Linked DNA regions of Coturnix japonica. The protein of the gene in region 1 binds, or shares a complex with, the protein of each later gene. Links are inferred from orthologs where the notes say so. Each region holds a gene or a part of one and is shown on either strand. Other genes may lie near its edges. The genes, in order: GINS3 and MCM3.

Region 1 (16,347 bases):
GCAAGGTGTCTCCTTGGAGCCCAGAGTCTGGCATGCTCCATCATTAAAAAGCGTTTCCAATTGCACAACGAGCAGCAATGCCCACTTTAACCTTCCCCTGGAGAGTGGGGTAATGCCATCCCCAAGGCTCCAGGGTGCTGGGGTGGCTTAAGGAGGTGGCGATGCAGTGGGAAGGTTTGATGGTTCCCCAACATTTCATAGTTGCCTTGTTGCCACTGGGGGTGTTTGGGGACACACAGATAGGTATGGGCAGGTTGCTGGCTGCTTGGGGGCACCACAGTTCTGGGGTGCTGAGGGCACCAGGTCTGGAAACACACATTGCTTTCCCAGGGGGATGAAGTTTGGTCAGTCTCTGTACCCCCTGCTCCTTACTTGGCTTGAGAGCTTTCATAGAGCAGTTGTACACCCAGCTCCCCATGCCTGCACCCTGCTGGCTCTGTCCCTGACCTTCTCCTTGACCTGCAGCTGATCAATGCCTCTTGCTCAGAGGGATCCATCGGCCCTAATGATTTCATCCTGCTCCTCACTAATGAACTCTCACGTCGTGCTGCATTTGGGCCATGATCCCAGCAGTTGCTGAGGAGGGAGGCAGAGGGACAGCACGTTAGTTTTGGAGCTTTTAGCCAAAGCACACCACTGCATCCTCCTGATCCTCCACTGCACACCTCCCTCCCCACTCCTGCCCCTTGTTTTTTGGAGAAGCCAAGGTGAAGCCACCGGTGCCATGGGACATCCCCTGCACAGCATGACCAGCGCCATCCTCAGAGCTGCCGCCCTACTGTGCCCACGTCCCGGCCAGGCAGAAAGGGAGGCCTGGCACTGACCTTTGCTTGGAATCCAGTCACACGCACCCCATCAATAATGAACTACGAGATAACAAAATGAGCTGTCACAGCCAATTAACACGCTGGGCTTAATCAGCTTGTGAGTTTTCAGGGGGGAAGAGAGGGGCAGCCACCAGCCAGAGGGGCCGGGTGAGGGGTCTGCCAGGTGGCAGCCACTCCTTGCTGGATCCCTTTGCCAAAGGAACCCAGCCAAGAGCCAGGGCTGTGGGAGGGCAGAGCTGTGCACAGAGGTAAGCAGGAAGACGATGCAGTGATTTCTTTTTTTTCTGTGTCATCCTGCCCTGCTGACTCAAAGCTCTGGGTGCAGAGAGCTTCCCTCTGATGCTGCTGGTGCAGATGCAGAGCGGTGCCCATCTCTGCCTGTGCCAGCCAGGCAGACAGAGCTGTGTTTGTGCACCTGAGCCCAAACTGAATGGCAAAAATCACAGCTCAGGCTCCAGACAGTGCTTGGTAAAATGATGGTAATAAATCCAGACGGTCTGGAGCAAACCTGGAGCCTCTGCCATTCAAACAGGTATTAATGCCTCCCCCAGAGTTTCTACAGTCTAGCTGTGGGCTTTGAAGGCAAATATCTGAGGGCTGTTTTGATGGTGCCTTTATTTCTCTATTTGCTTCACAGTTCCCATGTACATCGCTGCCAAGCCCCCCAGCTAAAGGACTGTGCTATTGGGTGGTTATCTCCCTACTCCCATTTTGCTCTAATGCATTAGAAGAAAAGCCATGCTGCTTCTTAAGCATCTGCCAATCTCTTGCTCTGAAGTCAGGGAAAACTCTGCCTATTTGTTCAGGCCAGACCTCCTGTTTATGCATGTTCACAAGCCATTTTTGTAACAAATATTCTCCTGCTTTGCCTAGTGAGCACCTGAGAGCCCTTGAGGGACTCTGAGAACTGCTGGAGACAGACACAGCCTTGTGAGCTACTCCAGATGTGAGCACAGGTAGAGCTGCACAATGTCCATTTGCCTTTTACCACTTTTGTTGCTGTTGTTTTAATCACAGCATCACAACAGAGATGGGACAGCATCGCCACGACTCTCAGGAGGTATCTCCTTCACCAAACCCCACTCAGCAGCATACCAGCATCTAAAGGACAAATGATTTCTACCCCACAACATGAGGGATTTCTGCCTTGCCACAGGGCAGGAAAACCTGGATAAAGTGTGTTTTCTCTCACTGTAGGAGAAGCCTGTGAAGAGCTGGAACCATGTGGCTTCAGAGAGGCTAACAAAAGGCAAAAGACCACAGTGTGTCCTGCCAATCAGATAGAAAGATTACAGAGGCCGGTGGCACTGCTTGGCAGCCCGCCATCAGAAATAACTCTTCAAAAATAGCAGCATTCTAATCTCAGGAACCTTCTAGCATTGCCAATCACATTAATGAAGTGTTTTGAAAACCAGAACAAACGCCTCAGCTTTTTGGGGCTGTGCTACCCCCTGTAACTTTCCATGCAGCCAAGGAGTGGGCTGGCTGCTGCAGCACACTGCTCTCATGCACAGTGCTGTGGTGCAGCAGTGGGGTCAGCCTGGATCCCAGGAAGCTTGGCACCTGTGCTGGGAAGCTGACAGCCCTCAGTGCTGGGGAAGGGGATCCCAGGATCGATTTCCTTCTTCCTTCTTGACCACTGTGCAACCTAAACCCATTTTGAGTCTCACTCACTACAAGAAGTCACTTACCCATCTACTTTAGTCTCCAAGGCACAAGAACATCAGTAGAGTTCTCACTACCTTCAATTGAAACAAGCAGTTGTGGTAGGGCTCACACAAAAATAACATCTCCAGCTCGACTCCTCCTCTCCCAGCTGCTGGTCAGCAGGGCACACAGCAGCCCTCCCAGGCCATGGCCACACGGTCATGGCAGCAGGAGATGCAGCACACAGGTGATCTGAAGCCAGAGACACTTTTAACTGCCCAGTTTCTTTCACAAACAGGATCTGACTGCCCCAGATTTGAATCCCTCTGCCTGGTCAGCATGAAACAAAGCAAAACATGCTCTGTCAACTGGAGATCAGCTCCCAAAGCCAGACTTAAAAGCAAACCCATCAGAAATAAGTTTCAAATGTGTGTGGTCTCCCTTCATTCCCCATTCAATGTGACATGATGAAACCACAGTAGCTGTTATCCTTCCGTCAGTGTTTGTGTGAAGTCCCAGTGACGATTCAGCTCAGCGTTTAGTGCTCAGGCTGCTGTCAGCTCCAGTACAAGTACTTCTGAGTTGGCAATATCAGGCAAATGGAGCAGAAATGCAGGCTCAGCTATCCATGCTTGGCCAATCTCCTGCTGGGCCAACTGGCTGTTTGGGTGGGGGAGAAGGATGGAGGGTGAGAAAAGTGCTTCTCCGTATTTAATCAGATACATGGCAGCCTTGATGAAGCTTAGCAGCAAGGATTTAATGGGATGCATCAAGGAAGCCAGCATGATTTCTGAAAAGGGGAATCTTTTAGCACTGTCAAGCACTCACCAAGTAAGTAGCTGAGCTCTGGCAGATGCAGCAGAGCTGTGAAAGCCTGGCAACATATTGGCTGTAAGAAATTACGTTGCTGCTTCCCATCCAGAGCACAAAATCATTCAACCATCAGAAAAAGAAACTGAGGTACAGAACTACCTCTGAGGCAGAGGCAGCACTAAACAGAAAGGTGGATGTTTAAATAAAACCACAATCTTCTGAGCCGTATGATGTGCTGTCAGACAATGTGTTCTTATAAACAGCACATCTGGGTACAGAAGCAGCTCTGTGTAAAGAAAGCACACCCCACTGTCCCACTGCTGTTTTACATCACATCTCTGTTCAGCAGTTGGGTTAATTGACATTTTGAATGTGGTTCTTCTAAGAGCTGATCACCAAAAATGGCTAAAAATCATGGATTGCAGTTGAAATGCTGAGTCACAGCTTGAAGCAGTGATGGAGCACCCGGTGGGAAGGCAGGGCCAACCCAGTGGAGCTCAGGTGCAAGCAATGTACCTGAATGACCAGATTCTGGCTCCTCCCCTTCCCAGACCTCATTTAAGGGCTGGCAGTGGGAGCAAGGATGTTTCCCTGGAGGTTCCTGCTTGATGAAGGTCTTCTAAGGGTAAGCAGCTTTTTTTTTTTTTTCCTTTCTTTTTCTGTGTTTATGGCTACCACATTTGAGTATATCCTCACCTGCCACAGCCCAGGATTTCACTACTACTTTTTTGTTGCTACACTTTCCATCACATTACACAGATCAAAACTGGGAATGCTCGTGCTCTTCAATTCAGTTAGATGTCATTGTTCCTGTGCTACAAGTAGTACATGGTGTTACAGCATGTCAGTTTTCAAAGTACTCCTTACTGCCACCTCTCTTGGATGCTGGTCTGAATGACTCTGTCTAAAGCTTCCTGGCTAGCAGAAGCAATCAACAGCTGGGTTTTTTTTCTGCTGACCAAAAATAAACCAAGGCCAGAGGATGAAGTGAAGCCTCATTTATGTCAATGAAAGTCAAGGGAGTAAAGCAGAACTCTTATGAAGAAGCAGTTTGGATAGCTGAGGGTTTGTGCATGGGTGACTGCAAAGCTCTTTGTGTTTAACTGGGACTCAAACACCTGCAGCTGCCTCACATACTTGGAAGAATACATGGAGTGAAGAAGCCTGGTGTGTTAGAAGTCCATGTGAAATTCAGCTGAGGAAAGCTTTTCAGTTTCACTGACCAACGTGACAGCTCACTGCAAGGGAGTCCAAGTGACTCCATCTTCTGCTGCATTGGTGCACATCAGCACCCTGGTTGTCACACAGCACAGCATGGCAATGGAACGGAGCATCCAAGGAGGGTGTCCAGCAGAAACAGCTTTTGAGGAGCTACTCAGACTAACATTGCCCTGAGATGGGTCTGGAAGGACCAGATCAAGCCAGCCTGTGGGTTTCTTAAAAAACACATCATAAGAATGTTCCTTTGAGTTTTAATGTGAACACATAACTAACCAGCATTCCGAATTTCACTTAATTTTGGTTGCCATGGAGAACAGTGTAGCAATGCTGTATAGTACGTCCACGGGCTGCTTTCTCATAGACATCAGACATCAGTAATCCCGCAGTGTGAAAGATGAGAAACATGGGGAGCAGTGACACTTAAAAGCTCTTTTTGTACCTCTTTTGTGCAGTTCAGTAAGCTATTGTGCCATTCTGATAATACAGGAGTTCAAATTCCTCTGACACAGCTTGCTGCTGCGCAATCATAAAGGACAGTCTGTGTTCATAAAAATTACAGAGCATTCTTTTGTCAGCTACCCTGAAGGCTTAACAGCAGCAGTGGGTGTCTGCAGTAGCAGCAAAGTGCTTCCAAACAGAATAAAGCGTTCCTGCCAGAAATTAATAAAATCTACAGAATATCAGATCTACTAGCAGAAAGAGCAATTAAAGATTGCAGGATCAGAAATTTAACCGGTTTATGGTGCTTTTTTTTTTACTAAGCACTCAGGGTTACTAAGTGACATCTGACATTAAGGACTACTTCAATCTCCCTACTCTGAAACTGGCTGCACAAAACACTGGCAAGCGTACACCATCTGCTTGGGATTTGTACCCAGCAGTAATGATGAGAAACGTTCTTACAAACACAACAAAATGAGTTCAGAGAGTCATCAAATCTAATCTAGAAACTGCGGAGAGAATGATTTTTGGTTATAAACCAACTAGATCTCAAAGCAACCATCTTAACATAACACTTCCAAACCTAAAATGTTCTTATCACAGGTGGAGTTAATCTTGCTTCCCATACAGCTGGAACACTGGATGCAGTTTTGACACATGACTTGCAATCTGTGCTTTAGCACTTGGAGCAGCAGGGTATGAACAGAAACAGCCAACTCCCACCTGTTGGCTGCTGTGCTGCTGAAAATCATCTCCATGAAAATGCAGACTTGCAACCTGATAAAAGCTATTGATTTTGTGTCTGTGCCATGGCTTTAACAAACTGCTACTACTCACGTGGGGTGTGTTAGACAGCTGACTGCACCTGACTGCAGGAAAACAGTTCATGACCACGTCACCTAAAAGAGAATGGGCATGGGGTGACCAGGACTACATTGTCCTCTGCAGACGTGACTTTGCAGAGATCTGCACTATCTGTGACTAATTTCTAATTGCTGGACAGCTAACAATGGACATCAAATAACTTCCCCCTTAAAAATCTTTATTCAGCATAAAAATCCAGAAATAGAAAATAGACAAATATTCCAGGAAAATGTCTAGGCTACTACATACAGCAGCATTTGAGCCTGTATGTACTCCAAATACTTTGTGAGGCAGTTTCCAGTTAGTCTCCCCAGCAGAGCTGAAGCCAACACCCTGCCCCCTCTCATGACCTCCAGGGCAGAGCTTCAGAGGAATGACCATGCATCATTTGCACTGCAGGTCTTTAGTCTGAAGAATGTGATGGCCAGGTACACCTCCAAAGACAAGCAACTCCTACAAGACTTGGTGCATCAGATCTTGAAGGTCTTGCATCAGAAACGCTGCTGTCTCCTTGTGACTCCTGGAGCAGGAAGGGGTAGGATGATAAATGCTGGGCTGTTCGAGTACCAGCTTCAGTCTCTCCTACTGGCAGTGATAATATTTACTAGAATCACTTTGCAGATGGATCAGAAGGAAGGAAACTCAGTTCATTTGCTCTGTCCCTCCACTGCCAACTGAACTTAGTAAGTAGATTTTCACATGGCGGAAACAGATGACACAGGTTGATAACGGAGGATGAATTCCATTAAGGCACCTGCTTTTAAACCAGCCCAGACTAACTTTTGATGCTCCTGTAAAATGAGTGGAAGAGCTCAGCGTTTGCTGCAGAAGCACATCCATCACAAAAGGCACTCACAGCAGATGGGAACATCCTCCATCACCTGCAGCACTGATCCCACAAAGGCTGGAAGGGAAAGAAAAGACAAGGCAGCTCCTCAGATCTGCACAGGTGGAGAAGCGTTCTCTGAAGTACTAATGCTGTGTACAAAAATCAGCAAGGAAAGGGATCCCTGTCTCATGGAGAGCATCTGTTAAACTTAAATGTATAAGAAATGGGAAAAGTGCAGTGTAGTTTCTAGCACTTTTTTTTTTCCTCCATATATCTGGGGTTCTCCAAAGAACAGGGAAGCTGGAAGCAGATGTTCCCAGGAGGCTCGTATGGAAAGGATGGAATATAAACAATTACACTTGTTTTCCAAACAGATCTGGCACTGCAAATATCAATTTGGAAGCTAAAGAATGATAAATATCAATTACCCTTTTAGAAAATCCTCTCACATCCTTTCAGCCACTTAGCAAGCACTATAACCACAGATCCTCATGGGTGGTATGAGTAAGCTGTAAGGCTATCCAGCAATGTGATGTGATCTATTTTTAATATCCTTGCCATCTGCCTTCAAGATTTGCACTAGGCTAATATGAAGATGTTAGGAAAGAACTCCTGTTAATGGACTGGGAATCTGTCCTTTCCCAAAGCTGATTCATCTTTCCTTTCTGTGACTATCTATCTCGGTGTCCTCTGTTGCAGCCACCTGTTCTTCAGGCTTTTACCCATCCATGTCTGTAAATTTTCTTTTCCCGTAATTCTGGACCAGACTGGAAACTGTGATTTGTGAAGCCTGTCCCTTTTCCCAGCACTGGAAGTCATTCAGCCCCTTCTGGCCAGCTTGAAATAAGGCTCGTTCTAACTCATCCAGCCGAGCCACCAGACTTGACGTGTCCTCGTTGTAGGCATTCTGAGAGGAGTCCATGATACGACGGAAACGGCTAATAAATGTCTAAAGAAGATAAGCAGAGTTATTGACACGTAAAGCAGAGGCTGCTTCAGCTTGAATGCTAGAAACCTTTCAAGACATGGGAGATGCTTACAGCTGGTCTGCCAGGGCTGCTGTACACAGCACCAATTAATCCTGGTTGCAAAGACAAACTACTTCCTGCATGAGCTTGCAGAGTGAATATCTGATATAGCAGAGAGGAAGCATGCATGGAATTAGATTTGCCTGCTCTCTAACGACAGGCTTGAGAAGACGAGAGGGTGTAACACAATTAGCATCTACTCCATCTCATTTAACCAGTGGAATGAATCTTGTGCCACAACAGCTGCTGTAGGAACAGACAAGCTGCAGCTTGTGAATGGACCAGAAGATACGTCATCACTGAGGAGCATTTGGCATGCTGAAATAACACTTGCCCCCTGCTCAAATCTACAACTAACACATAACATTTTAAAAAGTAAAAGGATATACTGAAAGGCTTTATTCCCAATCAAAAATAAGGAGTCAACGCCTTATTTATGGTGGTGTTTCTTTTAAAGTAAAACAGCACAGCTCCTTTCATTTGCTTTCAACAAGCTGCACCTTGCATGCTTTGATATTTGTCAACTAGTGATGTGTGCTGTAGTGGTTCTCTTGCTAAGACATGCATTAACAGAAGGAAGAGATGAAAAAAGGTGTGATCACCTCCTCAAAGCAGAAAGCAAGCCCTCGGTAGAGCACTCTAAGGAAGGAGTAATATTTGATAATTTAATGAATAAACTTAATTAATGGAATAGAAATTGTGTTTATTAGGTTAGCAAACAACATGCAGGAATAGGAGGAGGGATGACTGTGGACAAAAACAATAATTCACAAGTAATCCTGGCAAACTAGAAATATGGCCTGAAAATCATCGGATGTAATTTAGCTGGGACTACTGCAAGGTTCTACGTTAAGGCAGAAGTAATTTACTACAAAAAGGCAGGACGAAGAATGATGGTCTGCATATGCTTTACCACCTCACTATGGACTGCAAACCAAATGTGTCAATGTCACACTATCGAGAAAAATAGAAAAGCTGTGACATGATGAGCAAACAACATAATGGCCTGGAAAACTCACAGAGGAGTCTTTCTGCTTCCAAGGGCACAAAGCAGGAAGATGTGCTGCTCAAGATGCTGCCTGTCAAAGCAGATGGAACTGAACTGGAAAAATACCAGCAGTGATCCGAGGTTAGGAAGCATGACACATAGTGAGGTACCAAATGAATTGGGTCCATTTATCCCAGAGTGAAGAAAACCAATGTTCAAATACATAATAGCCTTCTTCAGAAAGGAAGAGAATAATCTGTTCTCAGCATTTACTTTGTGTGAGGCAAACAGAACAGAGCTTGTATTGCTGTGAAACAGATTCTGTTTAAGCCTATGGTGAAGCAATGGAACAGTTGCTCAGGACAATATGAAGAGAGCTTTAAAAACAGGTTAAAAAAACAAAAAATAGGGTAAATAGGTTCTGCCTTGCAGCAGGGGGACAAATTAAATACAGCTGTACCCCCTTTAGTCCTGTTTTACAGGATTTTCTGAAATATATTTACAGCATGGCAACTCCAGGTTAAAATCCCACTCTTGGATGGGCACTTGAGGCTTCCACTGACATTAATAGGCTGCACCATTCCCCAAAAGGGTCATATCATTTGATCTAGAAATCATGAATCCATTATGAAGTCACCTGAATTGGAGCAAGATATTTTTCCTGCAGTCTGCTGGGCAACTGGGAACAAGAAGATATACAAACACAAAGACAAACTTCAGGCCTCAGCTCTAATACTTGCCTGCAGGATAGTCTGAGCTATCTCGGGGTTCTCTGGGTTGTCGAAGTTCAGGAGCTGGGAGCCAAATCCATAGTAGTATGGCCCCATTTTATGCAAATCAACCACGTTGGCATCAGCGCTGAACACCGTCCTCCACGCCTCCCTGTAGATCTTCGGCAGCTCCACAGAGATCAGCCTCCTCTTGCTGTCGTGCAGCCCCTTGGCCAGCCACATTGGGAGCTCCAGCTTTGAGCCCTGTGTGAAGAGAGAAAGGTAAAGGTTGTTCCTAAGAAAACACGTATGGATGAGCCCTCAAAGCTGACAGGAAGCTTTCATAGTGAAGACCTGGTATTATATGGTATTATTATATATCTGACCAGAGAGATGGTGGCTGCCCCATCCCTGGAGGCTGGTGATGCCAGGCTGGATCAGGCCCTGTTGGCCTTTAAAGGTCTCTTCCAACTCTAAGGGCTCTATAGCTCTAACTGTGATAAAGCAGCCGCTATTCAGAGGCACTAATTATTGCTGTTTTATACTTATTACTGCAGTACTCGGCTCTTTATATCCACCTCAAAAGCAGAACAAAACGCCCCCCCTCACAATACCCCCCTATGGCCGCCCCGCTCCGCGCCTCGCTCTCCCAGCACTCCTTCACCTCAGGGATGCAATCCCCGGAACCGGCGCCGGTCCCCTGGCCCAGAGCGAAGGCCATGCGGGGCAGGTTGCTCTCGGCTCGGCTGGGCAGCTTCTCTTGAGACATCAAGATGTCGTCCAGCGATAAGAAGTTCTCCTCGGGACCCAACCCGGGGCCCACAGGGAAATACGCCCCCGCCATGTTCAGCTCTGTGGGAGCGCGGCCTCTCCCGCTCAGCCGCCAGCGGGCAGCGCTGCGCATGCGCGGAGAATTCCCGCCCGCCGCGGAGGCGGGAACGGGCGGTGCTGTGTGAGGTGAGCCCAGTCAGTCAGAGCCCAGCTAAAGCTGGTTGGTGGAACCTTATTAAACCCTGCATTAATTCACTGAGAGAAATAAAACACAAGGGTTTGATGATGGCTTAGTGAAAATAATCCCTTCTTCATCGAGTTTGGAGGGCAGATCCTCACATGGAAATGCCAGATTTGCGCTGTGAGCAAGGAGGGATGTAAAGGGAATACGTTCTTGTAGGGTGCGGTACATAAAGAAAATCCCTTTCTTCAAGTGCATCAGGTTGTGGTGTGAGATGGCAAAGTGAGGTAGAGAGAACTGAAGGCTTGGGGCAGCCTCAATGGGCTCTGCAGAGAGCTCATCATACTGCACAGCTGGGCCTGTTTCAACGTAAATAGCATTAAATACATGAAGTAAGACAGCTGAGGAAACTGCAGGGACATGGCTGGGAGCACTGAGGGAAGGCTGGGTTGCCTCCTGTCTGATCTGACCCCACAGCCGGAGCCATTACCCTAAATCCTTTCCTGACACTGCCTGGGTTGCTCCTTTCCCTCCAGCACTTCCACTCTCAGGAACAGATTTGCATTTCCGAACTGCTTGTTTCGCCTGTGGCAGAGAGTTCTTATTTGTAAGTAATAATGTCATGCTGGATTTGTGACACGAGCTTTTGCAATCCCTTTGTTGTGCAAATGCAGGCAAATAACTGAGGTAAGCCAATTGGCTTCAGCAGGATTACCAGTAAGAGAACAGAGTGCTATGTCAGATGCATAAATATTGCTCTCAGGAGCAGATTCTGCAATTGAGGACAGCTTGAATTTGTAAGGAAGATGTACATTCTAAAAAGGAACGCTGAAGAGAGAAGATAAACTGCATGCTATAATTGGTGTTGCAGACAGTGTTTTTAGCCATCAAAGGGAGCACTGAAGCAGTTCTAGTACTTTCCAGTGTTTTCTTCCCTAATGTCACTCACTGCATGAATTCCTGTTCATAAGGAAGTGGATTCAGTGATCTTCAAGGAATTGTTACCTGTATAGTTTTGCTGGTAGGTGAATAGCCACAGTTAGACAAGTAGCTCTTGATGGGATCTCTGACACTTTTGATGTCTCGGGGTGGCTGTGATGATGTAAGTAGAACACTCACGTGGTGTGGATGAAAGAGAAATGCTGTGTTTGTTCTTCACAGGGAGACCCTTTCCTGCCTGAAATATACTCAAGCGACTGAACAAAGCAATGAGCCCTTCCCACAGTCTGAAACAGTAAATGTCAGCAGTTTCCTTTTTGTTACATCTCGAAGTTCCCATTAAATGCCATAGGGAAACAATGGGAGTGATGCTCTTCCAGTTCAGTTGCATGCACTCCAATGCCATTCAACAAAACGATACTCAATGCCCAGAGGAAATATACTCCTTGATGCCATGAAATCTATCTTAGCTTTCATGGAACACCCCTGTAGCTGGTCAGTGATACAGCTCATTGCCAATAAGTCAACAGTGTGCAAGCTTCATCAGCTCAGTATCCAAGGATATTGGAATCAAAGCAACAGAATCCTGTGTGAGATTCTATAAGTGAATACATGTCTGTGGGCTGTACTCAGTGCCGGGTTTTATCACACAAACCCAGATGTGGATTTTTGGCAGAGTTTTAATCTCCTCTAGGAGAGCCTGCGTATCCATTGATTTTACCATTTTCTTGTAGTCCTGTATTTGCCAGCAGAGCCAGTAACGTAACAGGAGAGCACTATCAGTGGGGAAAGTTTGGCAAACCCAGAGTAATCTCATTGAGATGAATGATGGTTTTAGACCTTCTTTTCATAGTATGGGGTTTAAAAATCTATCTGCTCCTCACAGTGGAGTTTCAGGGCCAAATACCTCCATGGCATAAATAGAAATCTGCTAAGGAATGTGCAGTTCTATCCGGTAAATTTTTGTTGTTGACAGTGTATTGTAATATTACAGTGTTACAATATTACAGTTGACAGTCCTTAAAAAGAGTGAAATCTTTTCTGATTAATAATCCTCTGTGTATGCCTATGGTTGGGGGTTGGAACTTGGTGAGCTTGAAGGTCCCTTCCAACCCAACTCGTTCTGTGATTCTTGCTTCTCTGTGCAATTCCTTGCCCCTTTTCAACAAGGGATGCTAAAGTGGAGCTGGTTAGCATATCTGAAATGGTATTGAAGTGTGAGTCAAACCCTGATGATAAAGATCTAACAAAATGACCTAAAATGTCCCTTCACTTTTAAATTTTCCCCTGCATTCAATTTCCTTACTAACAATTAGTGGAGGAAATAATGACACGATCACAGTTTGCTCAGACTGCCCAGACCAAAATAGCTGTATCTGCAGAGCTAATTAGGAATGACACACTTAAAAACACCGTGTTTCAATTGTCAATTTAAGTTTTAGAGTTGATGTATTGTGGAAACTCATTTTCCTGAGATGAGAGAGATGGTATTGATTCCCTTCACTAATTCAGTAAATGGGTGTGAATATTCCAAATTCAGCAAAAAAAAAAAAAAAAAAAAGGCTGAAGGGTCAATCCTGGACTACAGAGACAACTCTATATGAACTGCAGATTCATATGAATTGATAGCATGTTAGACATAAGGTTTTGTTACCCTTGGATAATGTGCTAACGCTGTCTGTGTCCTCTGCAGGTTCATGGCTCTGACATCATAGGTTTGATCTGCAGTCCCTGAGCTTGTCTCCACTGATGGCATCACCTGCTGTGAATGTTTGTGGAATGAAAGCTGCAGCTCCAGGTGAGAGATTGGTTTGGACTGTAAGTGTTGCATTGCCTTACCATCAGCCCAGCAGTGCACTGGCATGATGGCCTGGAGCTGATGTAAATGGAACTATGGAACTGTAGACCAAGAGCTGCAGAATCAGAATATGCTATCTTTAATACTGAAAATGGGAAAGCGTTTTAAAGTACATAGGGCAGACTTGCTAAGCTATTCTTGTGTAGATTATGCAGCACACAGGGTATAAGGGGTCAATTCTTGAAGGCATTCTAATCTCCTCTACTAGATGTAATATTCCCTGGCTCCTGCATGTGTGTATAGCTACCATCAGGGAAAATGGTAATGAATTTGCATACTAAGGAGAAAGTAAATCCTCATTCCCCTTCAGTAATGTATAATGTCAACAAAAGTCTTTGATGAATGCAGACTCTTCTTAATTAGATGCTTGGGTAGGAGATTATTAATCCATTTATCTCAAATTCTAATTGTGCCATGAATCGCTTGCTGGTTTATGCCTAAGTTTATGATCGTATTTATCTTCCTAGAACCTATAAAGAGTCATACTCCTAAATGAACATTTCTTGAAAGCTGAATTATTGTATTCTTATTTTTATTCCCTTCCCCAACGTACATATATGTGAATATTCTGAAACCCTCACTCTGTTATCCAAGAGCATATCCTGCAACGTAACAATTCCACAATTGCCATTTTCACAGTAGTGACATCTGACCTTTAGAAAACATGGATTTCTGCACCAGTGGCAGCCAAAGGAAGCTGACTTGTGGCAAAGGCAGGTCTTTATGTACCCTAATAATGGAGCAGGCATGGTTTGAGGGCTTGCCAGATTTCAACTGCACATTAAAATTAAAAGCTTAGGTTGTGATACTAATGTATAAATACTAATGATCCCACCGGCCTAAAAATCATCTCTAGGAGATTCTAAGCAAGCCAGTCAATTTGCTAAAAGCGCATGTAGTTGCCTGGATGACATAAGTTTACCTGGATACAGCTGAGGATTTATTTGCAAACACCCTCAGGCAGATACTTGTTTTGAACGCTCTAGTTGGCCTAGTTGGCAGCTCGTGGTGTGCACTGCAACAGCTCCATCTGCCGAACAACTCATAAATCACTGGCACTTCAGAAACTCACAGCCAATGATATTCCTCCTATCAGCCGTGCTATTAGTGGCCCTCTGGGTTTCTGTCTGGGACAGGCTAGATAAGAACAGACTAAGTGGAGCATACTGCAGTTCTTTTGTGTGTATGCACTGACACAAGAGAAGGAGAGAGCAACAGACACAGCTGGCATTCAGTAAAGTTAAATGAATTATAGTGAATGAAATCACTTGATTGAACTGACTCTGTTTTAGATACAGTGCTGTACAGGACTTGCTGTGTGAAGATAAAGATGGATGTAATAGCACCATCCAAATTGTGCAGTGATATCTGAGAATGGAAAAGTTTACTGGAGTGTTGTTGTTTGTAGTTTTGTTGCTTTTATTTTCTCCTGTATCCTATACTTTATCTATACTTTAAACTACCATTAAAGAGAAAAAACAAACCACCCCTTGCTCTTAGTTGAAGAGCTGCTGAACATGTTGATGTGCCTCATCACCCTGCTGCCACATGAACCGAAGCCACGGGAAGGGGAGCCCCAGGTCAGTCAGAATTGCTGCAGGACAAGGTCATCAGCCCCAGCATCCTCCTGCAGGCATGCGTGGCAGCAGGCGTTGAAAGGATGATGTATGGAAGTGCAGGCTGAGCTCAGAACAGCTCCGAGATCTGCTATGGATGCAGTTTGTGACTTGGAGAAAATCAGCCCTCTGTTTTTTCAGTTTTCTTATCAGCAGAGAGAGCCTCTGGGCTGTGTAGATATCTCTTGCCTCATCGAGACTGGAAGGACTCATTAACTTGTACATTTCAGTGCTTGAATTGCTATGTGGGGCCAGACCCTGCTCACTGCAGCAAAGGGAGATTTTGTGGTTGATAAAAACAGCGGTAAATTGCCATCTAGGGAACTCCAAATGCAAGAAATTCCAGCAATTTTAACAGAATTCCCGTCTAAACCACAACAGGTTTTAGCAACGTGGCAATATTCCCTCAAACAAGAAACATTCATGAAACACTTGCTACACACTTAAGTGTGACTTAGAAGAATTTCTTGGAAATTGCTGAATCCAACCCCATGTAATAACAGGAGTTCATGCAACAAATTACACTTGGTGAGGTAAAAAAGGATTGTAAACTTCAGATCTGCTTCTATTTTCATTTTGGTTATTAGAAATACTGTTTGCAATCCAGACTATAGCATCGGTTTTATCGCTTTTACAGTTCACTCTAAGGGAAGGAGGACTGTGGTCCTTGTGCCTACAGATGTGCCTCTCAGGGGCAGGGCAAGTTAATGCCTAAATTCCTCCCCTTCTCTCCTCCAAACCTCTCTGTTTACTTCTCTTATTAGCTTAATAATAGCCCACTCAGTTTGCAAGCTCAGTTTTCTCTTGAGCGTTGTTTGTTTCTGCCATTCTTTCTCACAGAGCTAGTCTTGAAAAATGCATTTTGATTCAGTCTCTGCTCCTCTTTTGGAACTAGTAGGTGTCATTCATTCTGGTGAGTTCCTCTGCATTTCTGCTCCATGGACTGAATGAAGCAGAGATTCTGCCAAAAATAGATGTGAGCTCGTGTAATTAAAAATTGTGTATGCACAATGTGACTAAATCAAGATGGATAACAAATTCAGTGTGAAAAGATACCTTTTCTGCCCTGAAGTCACAGTATTAATGGAGAATAATGATTTCAGTTCCTCTCTGCCTTTGATGAAGTTGAAAGCAGTGTTAAGATGGTGCTGTGCTTTATTTGAATACCGTACTGCATGCTGCTATTTAGTCAGTCTTATTCATTCTGCTTTGTAACTCCTCTTCCTTAGTGTAGTGCATGATGTTGCAACAAAGCCCCGCTCTCTGGTTATGCTATTTGTATTTTGGGGGCCCATAATTTCTAAGGGGATTAGAAGTTTTCATGACAGGATCTTACTTTACATCAGTCCAGCAGTGTCAGCATCAGATCCAGGCTCTCTGGACTGCCCCAGAAGACAGTGACCAAGGATCAAAGCAAAATCAGAAGAGGATACTAAACTCATGCTGATACCATCACTTTGCTATCACATGAAGTTGCCTGGCATGGCCTCAGCCGCACAGAACAGGTCTGTGGCCTCAGGTTCACCTGAAGCCATGTGATCCTTTTCATGTCATTGCTTTTTTTGTCAGCTCCAAAACATTCCAGCCATCATTGCAGAGGGAGTGAAGGAGGGC
Region 2 (16,302 bases), on another chromosome or scaffold:
CCACTGAAAGCCCTGACTCACCCTCTGGCATCTCCTGCTCGGCATCACTGAAGTCATAGGGGTCGTAGGACTCCTCCTCGCCCTCTGTGCGTGCCTTCTTCCTCCTGGGTGGGAGAAGAGGAGGTCAGCCCTGATTCACCAAAGGACAGACCTCAAGAGATACCCCCAGGGCTCCTGGAAGTGTCTGGCCAGGACAAGACAGGGCAGCTGTAGCTTGTGGGTAAACTCAGACCTCATCCACAAACCCTGAAATTTGGGAGCTTTTCCCAGAGGCTCCAGCATTACAAGTGTCACCCAAAAGACCCACAGGATTTAACACAGCTATCTCCCCAAGGCCTGCCATGACTACCTTTGCTTCCTGCCCTCCTTCTGAGGCTGCGTCTCCTCCTCCTCCTTCTCGGTCTCTGAGTCATCCTCCGCCTGCTTTTTGCGCTTCTTCTCCTTTTCCAGTACCTGCATAAGATATTGCATTTAAGGCCAGGCTGGATGTGGCTCTGGGCAGCCTGGTCTGATGCCTGGCAACCCTGCACATAGCAGGGGGTTGAATGGGACCCCACAACCTTTCTCCCACCTTTTTGAAGTAGGCAAACTGCACCAGCTCCAAAGCTGCCTCCGCATCCTGCAGATCAATTGTCTTGTTCATCCTGGCCTTAGCATGGGCTGTGGAGAGGCGGATCAATGTCTCCAGGGTACGGGCTGTGACAGGGGAAGTCTGGAGGGCAGAAAGATGGTGGTGAGACACTGGAGCTCACGAGACCATGCTGGACCCCCACTGTAGCATTAACACCAGCATCTGGTTCACCCCTGTTTGTAACACTGAGAGCTCACATCCACAGCTCCCCTTCCAACCTCAACCACTCTGTGACTGAGGGAGGAAAACACCTGTAATGCGAAAGAGAAGCATGTGCCTCAGTTTCTCTCCTGGTGTGATCAGAGGGAAGAGGGAGCTCACCCTGGCAATGTCCGAGTTCATCTGGTTCTGGCTGCGCAGGCGTGAGTACTCCTCTGCTATGTAATCTGCTGACTCCTGGGTCAAGACAGGCTTGATCATTTTTGCCACGTGGATGTACTTCCTCATGAACTCCATGCTGACGATCTTCTCCCTGCAGGGGATGCACACATGCCCATGTTCTTGATGGGAACATCAAGGGGATAAGCAGAGGGCACGTACAGGCTGCACCCAGGGAGAGTGCTATTCTTAGGAGCATCCAGTTACAATGCAGAGCTGTGCTCAAGATGTTCTCCCATCTGCCTGGTGTTTGAGAACAGTGCACCCAAAGCAGGCCCCCTTTGCAGCCCACCCACACACCTTGCTGGACAATCTACAGCATCACTGTCCCCAAAAATGAGCCAACACCCTGCTGCTCCAACCAAACCAAGAGTATTTTAACATCAGCTCATCACCATCGAAAACCCCGGAGAGCTTCACGGCACAAGGACAGGAGACTCACTTGCGTCGGTTGGGTCCATGAAGGAGGTCATCGTGTTTCTCATACACTTGGAGCTCCTGTTCCTCCTCCTGTGCGAAATCAGGGTCATCCGTAGCCAGCATCTCCACGGCGCTGCCCAGGGGCATGGCTGGAGAGGGAAGGGTTGCCAAGAACAGGATTTTAGCTTCTCACAGCCACCTACTGGCAGCACTCAGCAAAGCCACGGACAACTGAACCCAAACAGCTGCTAACAAGCGACAACCTGGAAGCCTGGGGTTGTGTCACAGTGTCACCGTGTAAGAAGCCCACCCCCATCTACTACCCCATCACCTCAACCACAGCTATCCAGGACAGATGGGCACCAGCTACAAAGGAGAGATGGACACTCTGCTTCAAGGTCACAGCTCAGCAGTGAGGACAAGGGAATTACAGAATCACAGAACGGCCTCGGTTAAAAAGGACCATAATGATCACCTTGTTTCAACCCCACCTGCCATAGGGTCCAGGCCAAGGACTTTACCATTGCTTGAAGGGAAAGGGAAGCAACAACAGCCAAAGAAAACCTGTAACTCCTGGGCTTTATATACAGCAAGAACAGCTCACCATCCCCATCCTGCTCATTGGGGTTGCGGTAGCGGTGCATTCGCAGGACGTGATCTGAGATCTCCCTGTCCTGCTCAGCATCCATCTGGTCCAGCATGATGAAGAGCAGGTCGAAGCGGGAGAGCAAGGAGTCCTGCAGGCCAATGTTCTCCATGGGAGTCTTGTACTGGTCATACTACAAGAGGTTGAAGAAAGGGATTACAAGAGAATCTCATGGGTCACTGCTGGCTGCTAGGGAGGGTGGAAAGACCCTCTCAAGCCAGGCCTTCAAGGTAGATGCACAGACAGCTGAACACCAAAGACACCATGCTAAACACAGCCTGCTCAAGGAGTAAAGCCTCTTTACTCCACTCAGGAAGATGAGTGTAGCTCTCATTTGCAAGTATGCAATTTTATCTTATTTTATGCCCCATCCTTGGGGGTGTTCAAGGCCATGTTGGACAGGGCCCCCACAACCTTCATGATACCCATGAGAAGCAGCAGTAGCCAAGCAAAACAAGTCTTCCAGCACCTCAGTTCCACTAAGAAGCAAGTCTGGGAGATCATTTGGATTTTATCTTCATCAAGGACAGCTCCTAGCAGCCCCCATATGGGGGGAAGCAGCAGAAACCAGCACTCACCCGGCCATAGACGGGGTTGGCAGCTGCCAGGACGCTGCAGCGAGAGTTGAGGCGAGCGTGGATGCCAGCCTTGGCGATGGTGACACGGCCCTGCTCCATCACCTCATGGATGGCCGTGCGGTCAATGTCAGACATCTTGTCGAACTCATCGATGCACACCACACCCCTGTCAGCCAACACCATGGCCCCTGCTTCCAGATGCCGTTCACCTGGGATGGGAGGGCAGAGAAAAGAAGGTCAGTGTTGTTCTGCAGCCCTGAGTGTCTCCTACTGTCTCATTCCACTGCAGCAGCATCCCTGTGAGGAGGATCATCAGCCTCAGGGACAACCACTTTAGGAGGAGGTTTTTCACCCAGAGGGTGGTGACGCACTGAACAGGTTGCCCAAGGAGGCTGTGGATGCCCCATCCCTGCAGGCATTCAAGGCCAGGCTGGATGTGGCTCTGGGCAGCCTGGGCTGCTGGTTGGTGACCCTGCACACAGCAGGGGGTTGGAACTGGATGAGCACTGTGGGCCTTTGCAACCCAGGCCATTCTATGATTCATTCTATGATTATATGATCTCTCACCCAATGTAATGGCAGGAGAACACTGAAGAAGAAGAAATGACATGGGCTCCTGACTGCCCACCAACCCCATATGGGGTACACCCAGTAGAACTAAAGACCACCAAAGATAGAGAAAACACCCCCACCATCATTGCTTCAAAGCTTGTAACAAAGCAGGTCCTGTAATTGCCTCTACAAGAAGGACAAACAGGCCCGGACCTTGCAGAGTCCATCCCAAGGATTAACTACCATCCGTCCACCAGCTCCCACTGGGAACCAGAACATTCCTTACCGGTTTCTTGGTCAGTGGTGACAGCAGCAGTCAGACCAACACCAGAGGAGCCCCTGCCAGTAGTGCCAATGGCACGGGGAGCAGTGCTCAGCACATAGCGCAGCAGCTGGGATTTGGCAACGGAAGGGTCACCTGGAAGAGAGAAGAATGTGTTTAGCAAACACAGTGTTAGCAGGGAAATGAATACACGTGACAACGAATTGGGTCGTTCATTCTTCAGAGCAGAAGGTGAGTGGATCACGTTCTCCATCATCCTGATGGGGAGAAGATGGAGCCAGGGTTTTAAGATACGTATAGTGATGGGAGAAGAGGTGACATGGATCATGGGAAGTTCTGTTTGAACAGCCTCATCTCACTCCCACAGCATCAGCCTCAGCTGCCTCTGCTCTGCCTCTCCACACCTATCAGCAAGATGTTGATGTCTCCTCGGATGCGGCTCCCATTCTCCAGGACCTTCTCCACCCCTCCAAGAAGCATGCACAGAATGGCCTTCTTGATGAACTCGTGCCCGTGGATGCTGGGTGCCAGGGACCTCGCCAGCTGGTTAAAGATATCCTAAGGCAGAAGAGGCAAAGCACAGCCTGTAAGTGGACCGAAGAACAAGTTCACAAGCCCATTACAGCACCAGAAAAGGAACTTATTCCTATCACAGAACTACACTGACAGAGGTTATTTAGATGGGAGAATACTGTTGGAATATTCTTTCCATGGGGGCTCTGAAGTCCTAGACCACCTCGCAAGCACTGGAAGCAGCAACCCCCACAAGAACAAAGATCTGAACACAGGACCAGACTGGGGGGCAGGCCCCCATTCCCTCCCCCAACCAAAAGAACTGGCATTTTGCTTTGTTTCCTTTCAGAAATCCAGGCTGTCATCTAATTCCGTTCTTAGGTTTGAGGAGGAAAAGTAGAACGTTGCAGAGGAGCTTCTCTAACAACCAGCGAGCAGTCAGGGCACACACAGCCCAGACAGAGCTCCATTTCAACAGCTACGCACAACAGAGCAGAGCCATCAGAAACTCTGCTACAGCTACATGTAATACATATGTATACATACATATATCACAGAAATTGACAAAAAGCTACGTAGAAAATGCAGGGAAAGCAAGAGGAAAATCATGGAAGGCGAGCTTAGAAATAAGACCTACATAAATACCTTGGAGCGATTCTTACTGAACCTCTTGATCTTGGCCACGTCAGTCGCAGAGTAGAGAGGCCGAGAATCTTTGCTCATCTGCTTGATATGGCAGGCAATGAGGATAGTCCTGGAATAGCGACACAGCTACAATGATGTTTGTGAAGCTCATAGAGCTTTCAGGGTCATCATAACAACAGCAGAAGTTTCATAGAACCATAGAATGGTTTGTGTTGGAAGGGATCTTTAAGATCACCCAGTTTCAACCTCCTGCTATATGCAGGGGCACCTCCCTCGAGACCAGGTTGCTCACAGCCCCATCCAACCTGCCCTATGTTTCATCTTAGAGGGATGGGACCCTGCTAAAAAGGGGTGTCAAGGCTGATGTTGTCCTTGAAGCCAGCAGAAGGCTCACCTGAACGTCCCTGATGTGTAACCTCCTTTCTTTCCTGGCAGGCAACGATAAGTCCCAACCACTTGAATGCGATCTCCAGGCTTCACTTTGTCCACCAGATCATCATCCAGAATGACATCCACCGAGCGTGGCAGCTGCCCTGCTGGTGCCTTCTCAGGCATCTCCTGGATGGAGATGGTCTGATGGTCCTTGTAGACTGAGAGGCCAAACTCTGTCTCCAGGGGGTTATTCTCCTCATCCTTAAGGAAGAAGGCACAGCAATAAAGAGATTAGCAGCACTGGGAAGAGAGCATCACCCAACACACACATGAGCACTGCAAAGGGCTGCTTTACCTGGACTACCAGATCCTGCAGTTCACCAGCAATACAGCTCCCCCTGATCTAATGCTGCCAGCATCAAGCACTGCCACATTAGAACCCTCCAAGCACTGCTCCCAATGCAGGCAGGCCATGCAAAAGAATGCACGTTCAACAGACATAGCTTAGGTCAAGCTTCCTCCATTCCCAAGCACAGGGCAATCCCTGCACACAATGGTCCACATACCCTCCAGACAGCAACCATGGGATGCTGGAATGGTTTGCATTGGAAGAAACCCTAAAGACAATCTAGTTTCAATCCCCTTGCCACATACAAGCATGCCAACCAACAGCTGATCATGTTGCCTGCTGAGCCAGCATATTCTCCCCAGAGGAACATGCAGATATTCCCCATATGAGGCCGCTTCACCTCACCTTTGTAGGGTAAACAGAGCTGGAAGGGAAAGCATCCAGGGATGTCAGGTCTGTGTATCGGCGCTCAATGGTCTTCTTGGTAGCTGGGCAATAATGGACGCTCCGGACAACCTTGGGACGAATCAGAGAGCCTGGGTTTGGAAGAAAGAAGAGTTAGGGGCAGAAAAGTCCCACTTGTTTGTCACCATGAAACCCCAAAAAGATATCCACTATATGCACAGGACAAAAGTGCTGATAACCAGAGTGCCAAGGACTGCAGCTCCCAACATTCAAGTCCACTGTTACCATCACTCCACTTGTCCTCCCATTGGTTCTGGAGGACTCCTGCTGTACCAAACACCCCGACCCTCTGCTCCTCACACCACCCAGCATCCCAACCTGCCCCCAGGCTCACACTTTGTCACGATGCCCTCCACACAAACAATGCAGCTCAGGAAGCAGGCGGTCAGCGTCCGTGGTGAGACGTGCTTGGAACCAAAGCTGCCCTCCAGCCCAATGTAGAAGTCCTCATACTGCTTGGCATAGGTGGCATCAACAGAGGCAACAAAGTCCTTCAGAGCACGCTGGAAGGCGATGAGCTCCTCAAAGGCATTGCTCAAAAGCCTGCAACAGAGGGAGGTGATGGCTGAGAGCTGCATCTTGTTGGCAACCCTGTTTGGCAGCTCTAAGAAATCCCTTCCAGATGCCTCGGTGTGCTCTGAAAGAACACTGAGAATCCCACAGCTCATGGAGACCAAGAGCCTGAAGGTGAACAAACCCAATTACATCTGAAACACCTAACAGGGGATCATTAAGGTTGGAAATACCTCTACAGTCACCCAGCCCAACCCCCCTGTGCCCACTGTGTCCTTCAGTGCCACATCCCCATGGTGGGGTCACCATCCATGGGGGTGCTCCATAACCACCTCCCTGGGCAGCTGTGCCACTGCATCACTGCTCCTCATGACAAGAGATTGTTCCTAATATCCAACCCAGACCTCCAACTCGCAGCTGTCACATCTCAACTTGTACTTAAACCATTTGCAAGTCTCTTGCAAAAAGACCCCAGAACCCTAAAGCTGAGACGCCTCACACCATGCAAACACCCGAATTTTACTGTAAGGATTCAAACAAACAGGATTTGCTCTATCAATGGGCTGCAAGCTCGTAAGGGCTGGCTGGCTGGCACAACAGCACCCCCCCCCCCCCCCCCCCGTACCGGCTGGCTCTTTTCTCGTTCCTCCTCCGCAGGTCGTTGATGTTGACCAGGAGGCGGTACTGGTTGTCGCTGATCATGTCGCGCACTTTGCCGTGGTAAACTCCTTGATCTTCCTGCACACATAGGTAACAACACAACCCTCAGTTTCACATGAGCCGTGTAAAGCCATTTCCATTTATTCCCTGGGGAATAAGCAGCCCCAGCGCCATGGCTCCTGTTGGGGGGTTTGGGGGGGAAGCGATGACCACCCCCGGTTATAAGGGGAGGCTGCATCCCGCAATACACGCCGCTGCTCACCTCATCGTCCAGGAAATCCAGGTAATCGCGCTGCGCTTCCCGCAGCTCCGCATCGTCCAGCCCGTCCGCTGGGGCTGCCATGCTGCAGGGAGGGGGTAGTAAACAGGTAAGGACCGGGTTGCTCTTTAAAGGGTCCTATAGATCCTATAGATCCCCAGCAGACCCCAAACGCCGGCCCGGATCACAGCAACCTCCACGCTTCTCTTTGGCGCCAAAACCGAGCGCTTTCCCGCCACGGCGGGGGGAGTTCCGCTCCTCATTGGGCGGCGCCGCCGGGCGTCAGCCAATGGGAGGCAAAGGGGAAGTGGCGGGAGTTGACGCGCAGCAGCGGCAGCCAATGGGAGCGGAGGAGGCGGGGCGGGGGCGGGAATGGGGCGTTTGGGGTCTGGGGTCCCGGCTGAGCTTTGGGTGTCAGCAGCGGGATGAGGATCTAAATTAGTGTATTTATTGCTGATTCCTTATTATCACTGGGGTAACACCCCGTTCCAGGTTCAAGCATCTCCCCTGCCCTCCCCCCCCCCACCTTGTAGCTGCAGATAGCAAAGCGGAGACTCCCTATGGGGTAACGGATGTCTTTTCTAAGGGGATCTTAGCAAGGAGAACGTAGGTGGCCATATATGCCATCCCATAAACTGGGAAGGAAGTGCTGTGTGTAAATCCAAAGGGAGCCCCAGCCCATAGCGGCGTTGCGGGGTTCGTCCCGCTGAAGGTATGGCTGTGAACCAAGGGCAGCAGCACGGTAACGAGTTAGGGCTAAAAATAAGCGCCTGTTGTTATTCATGAGCCTGCCCTATAGCAACAGCCTCGGCACGGAGAACGCCGAGTGAATAATTCATTGCTACAGGTCGGGGAAGGCCGAGGATGGAGGCAGCTCTTCCTATGGGGACCTTACAGGGGTAACATTAAACAGGAATCAGGCACCTGAATGCATGTAGAGCAAGGGCTGCAGTGTCTTCCTATGGTCCTGCACCCGATGCTCAGCTCCCCCAGTGCCAACATGATGCTGAGTCGCTCCCTTCTCCTGTCATGCGAAAGCAAAATAAAGCAATGAATAATACTGTGTTTCCAAGGAGGTCTGAATAGCCCAAATATAGATGGCTGGAGGTTTCGCGTTGCTATTTCTGTCTGCTCATCTGTTATCGTGAATTCTGGTTGTTACTAAAGGCAGTGACAGCTGGCTCCTTTTATTCCTGGTTTTCTCCCCTGCTACGAGCCTGGCTATCACCCATCTGCATACAAAGCACTGCTGATCTGCACCCATTAGGGATGGGATCCCACTTACCATGAGTGACCCCTCAGTCACAGGACCCAGCCATACGATGGCCTGGGTTGGAAAGGACCACAATCACCATCTGGTTTTAACCCAATGCTGTGTGTAGGGTCACCAACCAGCAGCCCAGGGGTGGTGCCCCATCCCTGCACACAGCCAAGGTCAGGCTGGATGGGCTGTGAGCACTGCTGGAGCTGTGGGTGTCCCTGTGCAGTGGGACTGATGGCCTTAAAGGGGCCCTTCCAACACATCCCCCCTACCCCTATAATAGGCAATTCTCATCCATTTTACCCCTGTTTTTGGGGTGGGGGACAGGCAGGGAGAGCCCAACCCTGCCCAGCTGAGTCGGAACCTGTTGGGATCAATCTCCGGAGCAAACACAACCACACCTGGGAGGGAATAAAGCGGGTGATTCATTTCAGGGTGTAAAGTACCCCGAGCTTAACAGATCAGAGCATCTGGGGAGGCACGTAGCAGGTCAGGGGGCGAGCAAACAAAGCGATGCCCACAAAGCTTCGGTTGCAAAGCATTTGTAAGACCAGAAGGAGACGGAACAGCCGCTGATCAACCCGAGATCCGGCCGGTGGGGCAGCCCGGGGCGGGGCTGAGCGCATGCGCTCGGTGCCTGGAGGCGGTGGCTGCGGGACACGGCGGTGCGGTGCGGTGAGTGCGGGCGGCTGCGGGGACAGGGAGAGGGGACAGCGAGGAGAACCGCTCCGGGTTCAGTTTGTGTGTCCATGGTGATGGTTTGGGGGTTTTGCTCCCCTGGGGCTGTTTGCTGTGGGTGGGTGTTGGGTTTTTCCTACGTGAGCATCTCGCTTTGCATGGAGGCTGCAGGTGGTTTTATTGTGCGCTGTAGGGTGGAGGTGTAGCTCGGTTGGTGGGTGCTGTGGGATGGTTGGAGATGGGAAAGGAGAGAAGCGAAGTGCAGGTTGCACAGTGAGGTGGTGGTGCTCCGTCCCTGCAGGCAGCCAAGGTCAGGCTGGATGGGCTCTTCCCTTAGCTCTGCTCAAGGGTGCAGTCTCTCTTTGTGCAATCCGGGCTATGTCCAAGTGGTTTTTCAGTTTCTGATGTCCTGGTGTCAGCATAAGTGTTTGTCTGTCTCCTCCGTCATTTGGGGAACTCTGGGAGCCCTGCATTTTGTCCTCATGAGCCCCAGCACTGCTTTTGGTACCCATGCACCTTCCTGGAGGGTTTTGCAGCATTGTGCTGGGATCAGTTGAGGTGAAGATATAAGGAAGAAGCTGTCAATAATAAGGATGGTGAGGCACTGGCACAGGTTGCACAGAGAGGTGGTGGTGCCTCATCCCTGCAGACAGCCAGGGTCAGGCTGGATGGGATCTGAGCACTGATGGAGCTGTGGGTGTCCCTGCTCAGTGCAGACAGTGGCCTTGAAGGGTCCCTTTAACTCAAGCCATTCTATAACGTTCCCTTCCATGCTGGAGGGGCACTTAACTGAGAGATCACTGCAACCTGAAGGGCTGAGGATGGGGACGTGGGTGACTGTGATGCTGCAGTCATGGAAAGGTCATGAGAAAGGACATTTGGATGCCCTGCGGGAGAGGAATGCGGGCTGCGGGGCTGTTTGTGCTCGCTGCTGGGGCAGGGAGGGGACGGCGAGCTGCCAAGTGCACCGCTCAGCTCAGCTCAGCTCCGAGGGGTGCAATGTAGCACAAACAGTTCCTAGAAGCACGGCCCTGCTGAGCCCAACCGCCTTTGCACACTTCCTCCCACCAAGGTGTTGTTTAACGGCCCCTGGCTTGTGGGATTGCTGATTGTATGTATTTACATTGAAGCTGTGCCTGAAGCCGTTGTGTCATTCCATGCACGAAAGGCTGAGCAGCAAACCCAAAGCACAGAAAGAGCGTGTTGTCCTGGAAGCTGTAATTTATGGGTCTGCGTAAGAGATTTGCAAGCTGGTGGCCGTACCTCGTGTCCTTCAGGCGTATGTGCTTTAATCTTCCCCCCAGCAAATCCTCAGCATCCCATATTTGCAGGGGGGGATTGGCCATCTACTCTAGGAGCTTTGCGTGCAGCTCTGCTCACCTCAGAGGCTGGGGATATGGACTTGCAGTGCATGGAGGACAGCAGCTCACAGCTCCAGGGCTGGCACACAGCTGCATGCTCTGCCTGCTGCCTCTCTCCCTGCTCCCTGTGCCGCACGTGATGGATGGGCATATTTTTCTGATGACCCAAGCCTGAAAATCTGCTGCCTTCAAAATGTTTTTGGGCATCGGGCTTTTTGTGGGTGATGGTTTGTTTGTAGGAAAGCTGAACAGTTTCAGTCTGAGATATCTTCCAGCAATGCTTTTGGTGCAATGAGGGCCCAGGGATGCTGCGTGCACACTGATGGAAGGATGCTGCACAGACATCATGGGAGGAGATGTGGGTTGTGAAAGCAAGACGCGGTTGAAACAAATCCAAATTGCCTTTTCAGCTTGTGAGGAGGGGAAAAAAAAATGGGCATTTCTGTGGCACCATTCAGCTCAATCCAGTGCTGGCATGTGAAGCGGGTCAGGTCAGCCACCCCACTCCATCACTGCGTGGCTGAATGACAGCTTGCTGGCAGGGGATGGCTGCCTGCATGCCTCAACCCCGTTTGCTCCATAGCAAGGTGGAGTTACTCGAATTGCGTGTGGGTGGCTGCAACAAAACTGTGCTAGGAGTGTGCAAACAACCTGGCAGACACAGGTCATTGATAGGGAGTAGGCTTTGCTCTTGTTTCTATACTGGTGAGCCCAAAGCAAGTCAGGTCAGGGTGCTCCACCTGGTGGGTGCAGGCTGCTCACTGGTATCACACACCTACCTGAAAGCTTTTGGGTGTGTGTGGGGAGGGGAGGGGGTAGAAACTGGTGAGCAAATCTAGAAAGGGCAAAGAGCAAAGGTATAGTGAGGTCAGAAGGAAAACCTGTGGGTCTGGTCTCATTCAGCATCTTCATCAATGACCTGGCTGGAGGAATAGAATGCAACCTCAGCAGGTTTGCTGATGATACAGAAGTGGGAGGAGTGGCTGACACAGCAGAAGGCCGTGCTGCCATTCAGAGATGTGGGCACTTTACTGTGTTGTGTGACCAAGCACTGGCATAGGCTGCCCAGAGACGTGGGGGGGAGTCTCCAGTGAATCATAGAATCATTAAGGTTGATGATCCCTAAGTCAACTGTCAGCCCATCCCCACCACGCCTGATGACTACATCCTTCAGTGCCACATCTCCACCGTTCCTCAACACCTCCAGGGATGGTGACTCCACCATCACATCATGAAGGGACCTGGTTTAGTGATCGGACTCAGTAGGTCAGGCTGGTGGTTGGACTTGGTGGTGGGGCCTTGTGAGATCCAAGCTGGAGCACTGCATACAGCTCCGGACATCAGCAAAGGACAAGGAGCTGTTGGAGCATATCTAGAGGAGGCCATGAAGGTGCCCAGAGAGTAAAGCATCTGTGATTCTGTGATCTTTCCTATGGAGACAGACTAAGAACTGGGTATATTCAGTCTGGAGAAGTCTTTGGGGAGTTCTCATTGTGTCCTTCCAATACCTAAAGGGGGAAGGTGGAAAGGACTCTGTCAGAAAGTGTAGTGATAGACCCAGGGGGAATGGCCTTAAACTAAAGGCGGGGTGACTTAGATTGGATGTAAGGAAGTAATGCTTCACAATGAGGGAGGTAAGGCAGTGGCAGTGCTGCCCAGAGAGCTGTGGGTGCCCCATCCCTACAGTGCCCAAGGTTATAGATGGTTCTATGGGCAGCCTGGGCTGTGGGAGGTGTCCCTGCCCATGGCAGGAGCTGGATGGGCTTTAATGTCACTGCAACCCCAGCCGTTCTAGGACCTCCATTTCCCATCTATGGTGGGACCTTTCCAAAACAGCAACCTGTGATGCACCTGATGGGCTTTTGCACAGCTCACAGAAGAGTGGAATTCAGGAATTAGTTGTTACTTCCACGCCATACACAACCACTTTCCTTTATAAATGCAGTGCATTTGTTAAAGTCTTCCCCAGGGTTCAAGTTCTGCAGTGCCTTCTGCTTTGTTTCCCAGGCATTGCTGCCCGTCTGGAAGCAGATGTGCATGTGTAAAGCCCAGTGTCTGCACAGCACCCTGCGAGCCAATACATGGAGCTGCTACAGGCTGACTTACAGAGTTAACGCTGAGTCTGGGCTGGTGGGAAAATCAGCAATACCCTGCAGGAAATCTTCTCATTCAAACCCTTCCATTAGACTGTGACCAAAAGCAAAAGAGCTGGGGAAAAAGCTCGGGTTTCCAATTACTTCTGAAGAAAGGGAGAGGAGAAATTGGAACGGGATCGTTCCTCCTCTGGGCCACGGTTTGCATTGTGACTGCCATGATCCCGCCTGGCCACTGTCCACCCCTCCTGGCAGCTCCATCCCTGAACAAACGATACTTGGTTGCCGTTAATTGGGAGCAGCCAAAAGAAGTGAATCCCCCGGAGATGGGGGTGAGGAGGGGATGGCAGCGAGGTGCCCTGCTGATGAATGTGGCTTTCAGCTGCTCCAACACCCCCGCGGGAGGGAAAGAATAGGGGCTCTGTGAACGCAAAACAGCCAGTGCTGACCTTGGGGTTTCTCTCTCTTTTTGTTATTATTCCCCTTCTCGCTCCCTTTTCTCTAATTGCTCGTTGCTTTGTCCATCACATGATCACTGGAAATCGCCAACTTGTTCTCGCTCCTCGGTGTCACAAGTTTGGTTTAAAATAAGCCTGCCCGGATTCCTGATTTACTCACTGTTTGTCTGAGCACCGCATGCGTTTCTTGTGATTTCCGACTGTTAGCTTGAAAATGTCTGCCCCCCTTTCCTTCTGCATGTTAAAACCTGGTGTTTCCCAGCTGGGAAGAATCTCTGCTCTCAGTTCAGTGCCCAGTCTATCCTTAGCTCTGCTCAAGGGTGATGCTTGTTGTATCCGAGATGAGACTGTGGCAAAATCCTGGTGTGCAAGTTAGAGCCAGCCTGTGCCTGGTACAGATGCTGCTGTTCCTCTCATATGCTCATCAGAATGCAAAGCAGGCATGCCAGGGGTGGTGGAAAACACAGCATGCCCCTTGAATCCATCTGCATCCTTGCATCCTGCTCTTTGTGCAATCCGGGCTATGTCCAAGTGGTTTTTCAGTTTCTGATGTCCCGGTGTCAGCATGAGTGTTTGTCTGTCTCCTCCGTCATTTGAGGAACTCTGGGAGCCCTGCACCTTGTCCTCATGAGCCCCAGCACTGCTTTTGGTACCCATGCACCTTCCTGGAGGGTTTTGCAGCATTGTGCTGGGATCAGTTGAGGTGAAGATATATAGATTATATATATATATATCAAATCTGCCTTCCTAAATTTTGGCACTTATCCCCTGGGAATGCACAGGCCTCTGAATGAAGCACGTGTCCTGTCATAGCTCTGCCCCCTTAGGAGAGAAATAAAGAGAATCTGCCAACGTCAGACCCTCAGTGAGGGCCCTGCATTCAGCCTTGTACATCTCTGACACTAAATCACCCCATTTTAGGAACCACCTTCCCTTCCAGCTCTTGTAGGGCAGCTCCAGCGGACGCAGCAGCCACATTCTCTGTGGCAAAGGAAATAAAACCAACAGCCCTGAGAGATGCTAATGAAGAAAGCCTGGAAAGCACAAGGAAAAAGAACTGGCTGGAAAATGCAGTAATGTCAGTTATGACAGCCCCCATCCGCCAAGAACAAGGAAGTAAAGTGAAAATTCTTTGTCTGTTATCAGAGTTGTGAGGGGAAGTGGGACATGCAAGCCAGTGCAGAGTCTGCTCAGACTTGGCTCTTTGTGCTATCTCACCCTGGGACTGTTTGTCAGCTCCCATCTCTGCTTTCACTTCCTCTTGATTGTTAACATCATACGGTGACACCAGCTTGCTGAGGGCCTCCTGGTGTGTATCCGCTCAGACTGGTCCTCTGCCTCTCTCAGCAGATGCTACAAAAGAAAAATAAAGCATTTCCCACACTGATGCAAAATACTCATTACCATTTACTTATTTTCTGGTCACGTCTACGCACTTGGGTGTATATGAGCTTAGTAGTCCAGCCCCAGTCCTGCAAATATGCATGTGCTGGGTGGACAGGAGTACAGAGTCTGGTTCATCAGCACTGAGTTCAGTCTAAGCACAGTCATGTGTGATGAGTTCTTTTTTCTTCTTCTTCTGGTATCTCTCCTAACTGCTTCTTGCACCCCCTTACTGGCAACTAGCCCTAAACGTGCCCCATGAGATTGCCAAGGAGGCGGGCAGGATGTAATGTTTCTGTGTCTATCTAATCTAGGCTGAACCACAGAGACATCTTCCTCTATGCTGTATTCAGGTCTGCCAAGTCAAGAAAAGCCCTTCGCCTCTACAGGCAGGGTCTGCATCTCAATATCACCACAGAATCAAGAAGGTTCTTCTCACAGTGCATTCCCATTAACGTTTCCTCCCTCTCCCCTCCCTGCAGGGCACGAGGACGACGTTCCCCCATGATGACGGCCATCCTGGAGCGCCTCAGCACACTGTCCCTCAGTGGGCCACAGCTCAGCCGCCTGCCTCGCCTGCTAGAAGATGGCTTCCCCAAGATGCCGTGCACCGTCCCAGAGGGAGAGGTGCCACAGCTCTTCCGTGAGCCGTACATCCACGCCGGGTACCGTCCCACTGGGCAGGACTGGCGGTACTACTTCCTCAGCCTCTTCCAGAAGCACAACGAGGTGGTCAACGTCTGGACTCATCTCCTGGCGGCGCTGGCAGTGCTGCTGAGGTTCAAGGCGTTTGTGGAGGGCGAGCAGCTGGCCCTGGATGCTTGGTCTCTGCCTTTGCTCATCTTCGTCCTCTCCTCTGTCACCTACCTGACCTGCAGCCTCCTGGCCCACCTGCTGCAGTCCAAGTCAGAGCTGTACCACTACACTTTCTACTTTGTGGACTATGTCGGGGTCAGCACCTACCAGTACGGCAGTGCCCTGGCCCACTTCTACTACAGCTCCGACCAAGCGTGGTATGACAAATTCTGGCTTTTCTTCCTCCCGGCAGCTGCTTTCTGTGGCTGGCTGTCGTGTGCTGGCTGCTGCTACGCCAAATACCGCTACCGACGGCCTTACCCCATCATGAGGAAGATGTGCCAGGTGATCCCAGCCGGGCTGGCCTTCATCTTGGATATCAGTCCTGTCGCTCACAGGGTGGTCGTGTGTCACCTGGGGGGCTGTGAGGAAGATGCTGCTTGGTACCACACGTACCAGATACTGTTTTTCCTTATCAGTGCTTATTTCTTCTCCTGCCCAGTTCCTGAGAAGTATTTCCCTGGCTCTTGTGATATTGTCGGCCATGCCCACCAGATCTTCCACGCCTTCCTGGCTATCTGCACCCTATCGCAGCTGGAGGCCATTTGTTTGGATTACAAGAACAGGCAGGAGATTTTCCTGAAAAGACACAGGCCTTTCTCCATCTATCTCTCCTGCGTCTCTTTTTTTGGCTTGGTGGCCTGCAGTGCCATCACAGCTTACATCCTGCGATGCAGGATCAAGGCCATCCTGGCTAAAAAGGACTCCTGAGAATGGTGAAGGTGATGGGCATGACACCACACGGAAGGAAAAAAGTAATAATCAAGAAAAGGGGCATAGCATGTTAGAGGCATAACTGGCTTATTTGCCTAACACACCGTGACTAACCTGGACCTTGGACTGGGGTGGAGGGCTGGACACTTCATGCTGGATGCATTCTCACAGCAGGAGCTGCCTTCTGCCATGCAGGGGGACATGGGGTGTTTTAAGCCACAAAAGTCACTTAACC

Evidence for each region.
Region 2: GINS3 (region 1) and MCM3 share a complex: the UniProt entries of both Homo sapiens proteins name them as parts of the CMG helicase complex. The link is inferred for Coturnix japonica from reciprocal best matches to the Homo sapiens genes GINS3 and MCM3.

What each region holds. Positions count from the first base shown.
Region 1 is NC_029526.1:2,064,024-2,080,370, reverse strand, and holds GINS3 (DNA replication complex GINS protein PSF3), read right to left. Parts: upstream 10,279-16,347; 5' UTR 10,273-10,278; coding exon 10,033-10,272; intron 9,633-10,032; coding exon 9,399-9,632; intron 7,592-9,398; coding exon 7,361-7,591; 3' UTR 5,971-7,360; downstream 1-5,970. UniProt on the Homo sapiens protein: Required for correct functioning of the GINS complex, a complex that plays an essential role in the initiation of DNA replication, and progression of DNA replication forks.
Region 2 is NC_029518.1:98,083,267-98,099,568, reverse strand, and holds the start of MCM3 (DNA replication licensing factor MCM3), read right to left. Parts: upstream 7,532-16,302; 5' UTR 7,349-7,531; coding exon 7,268-7,348; intron 7,084-7,267; coding exon 6,971-7,083; intron 6,376-6,970; coding exon 6,167-6,375; intron 5,904-6,166; coding exon 5,773-5,903; intron 5,280-5,772; coding exon 5,041-5,279; intron 4,756-5,040; coding exon 4,647-4,755; intron 4,047-4,646; coding exon 3,893-4,046; intron 3,624-3,892; coding exon 3,492-3,623; intron 2,863-3,491; coding exon 2,654-2,862; intron 2,209-2,653; coding exon 2,034-2,208; intron 1,579-2,033; coding exon 1,452-1,578; intron 1,104-1,451; coding exon 953-1,103; intron 713-952; coding exon 572-712; intron 454-571; coding exon 350-453; intron 105-349; coding exon 22-104; intron 1-21. Other genes in the region: PAQR8 (membrane progestin receptor beta), read left to right, coding at 15,003-16,064. UniProt on the Homo sapiens protein: Acts as a component of the MCM2-7 complex (MCM complex) which is the replicative helicase essential for 'once per cell cycle' DNA replication initiation and elongation in eukaryotic cells.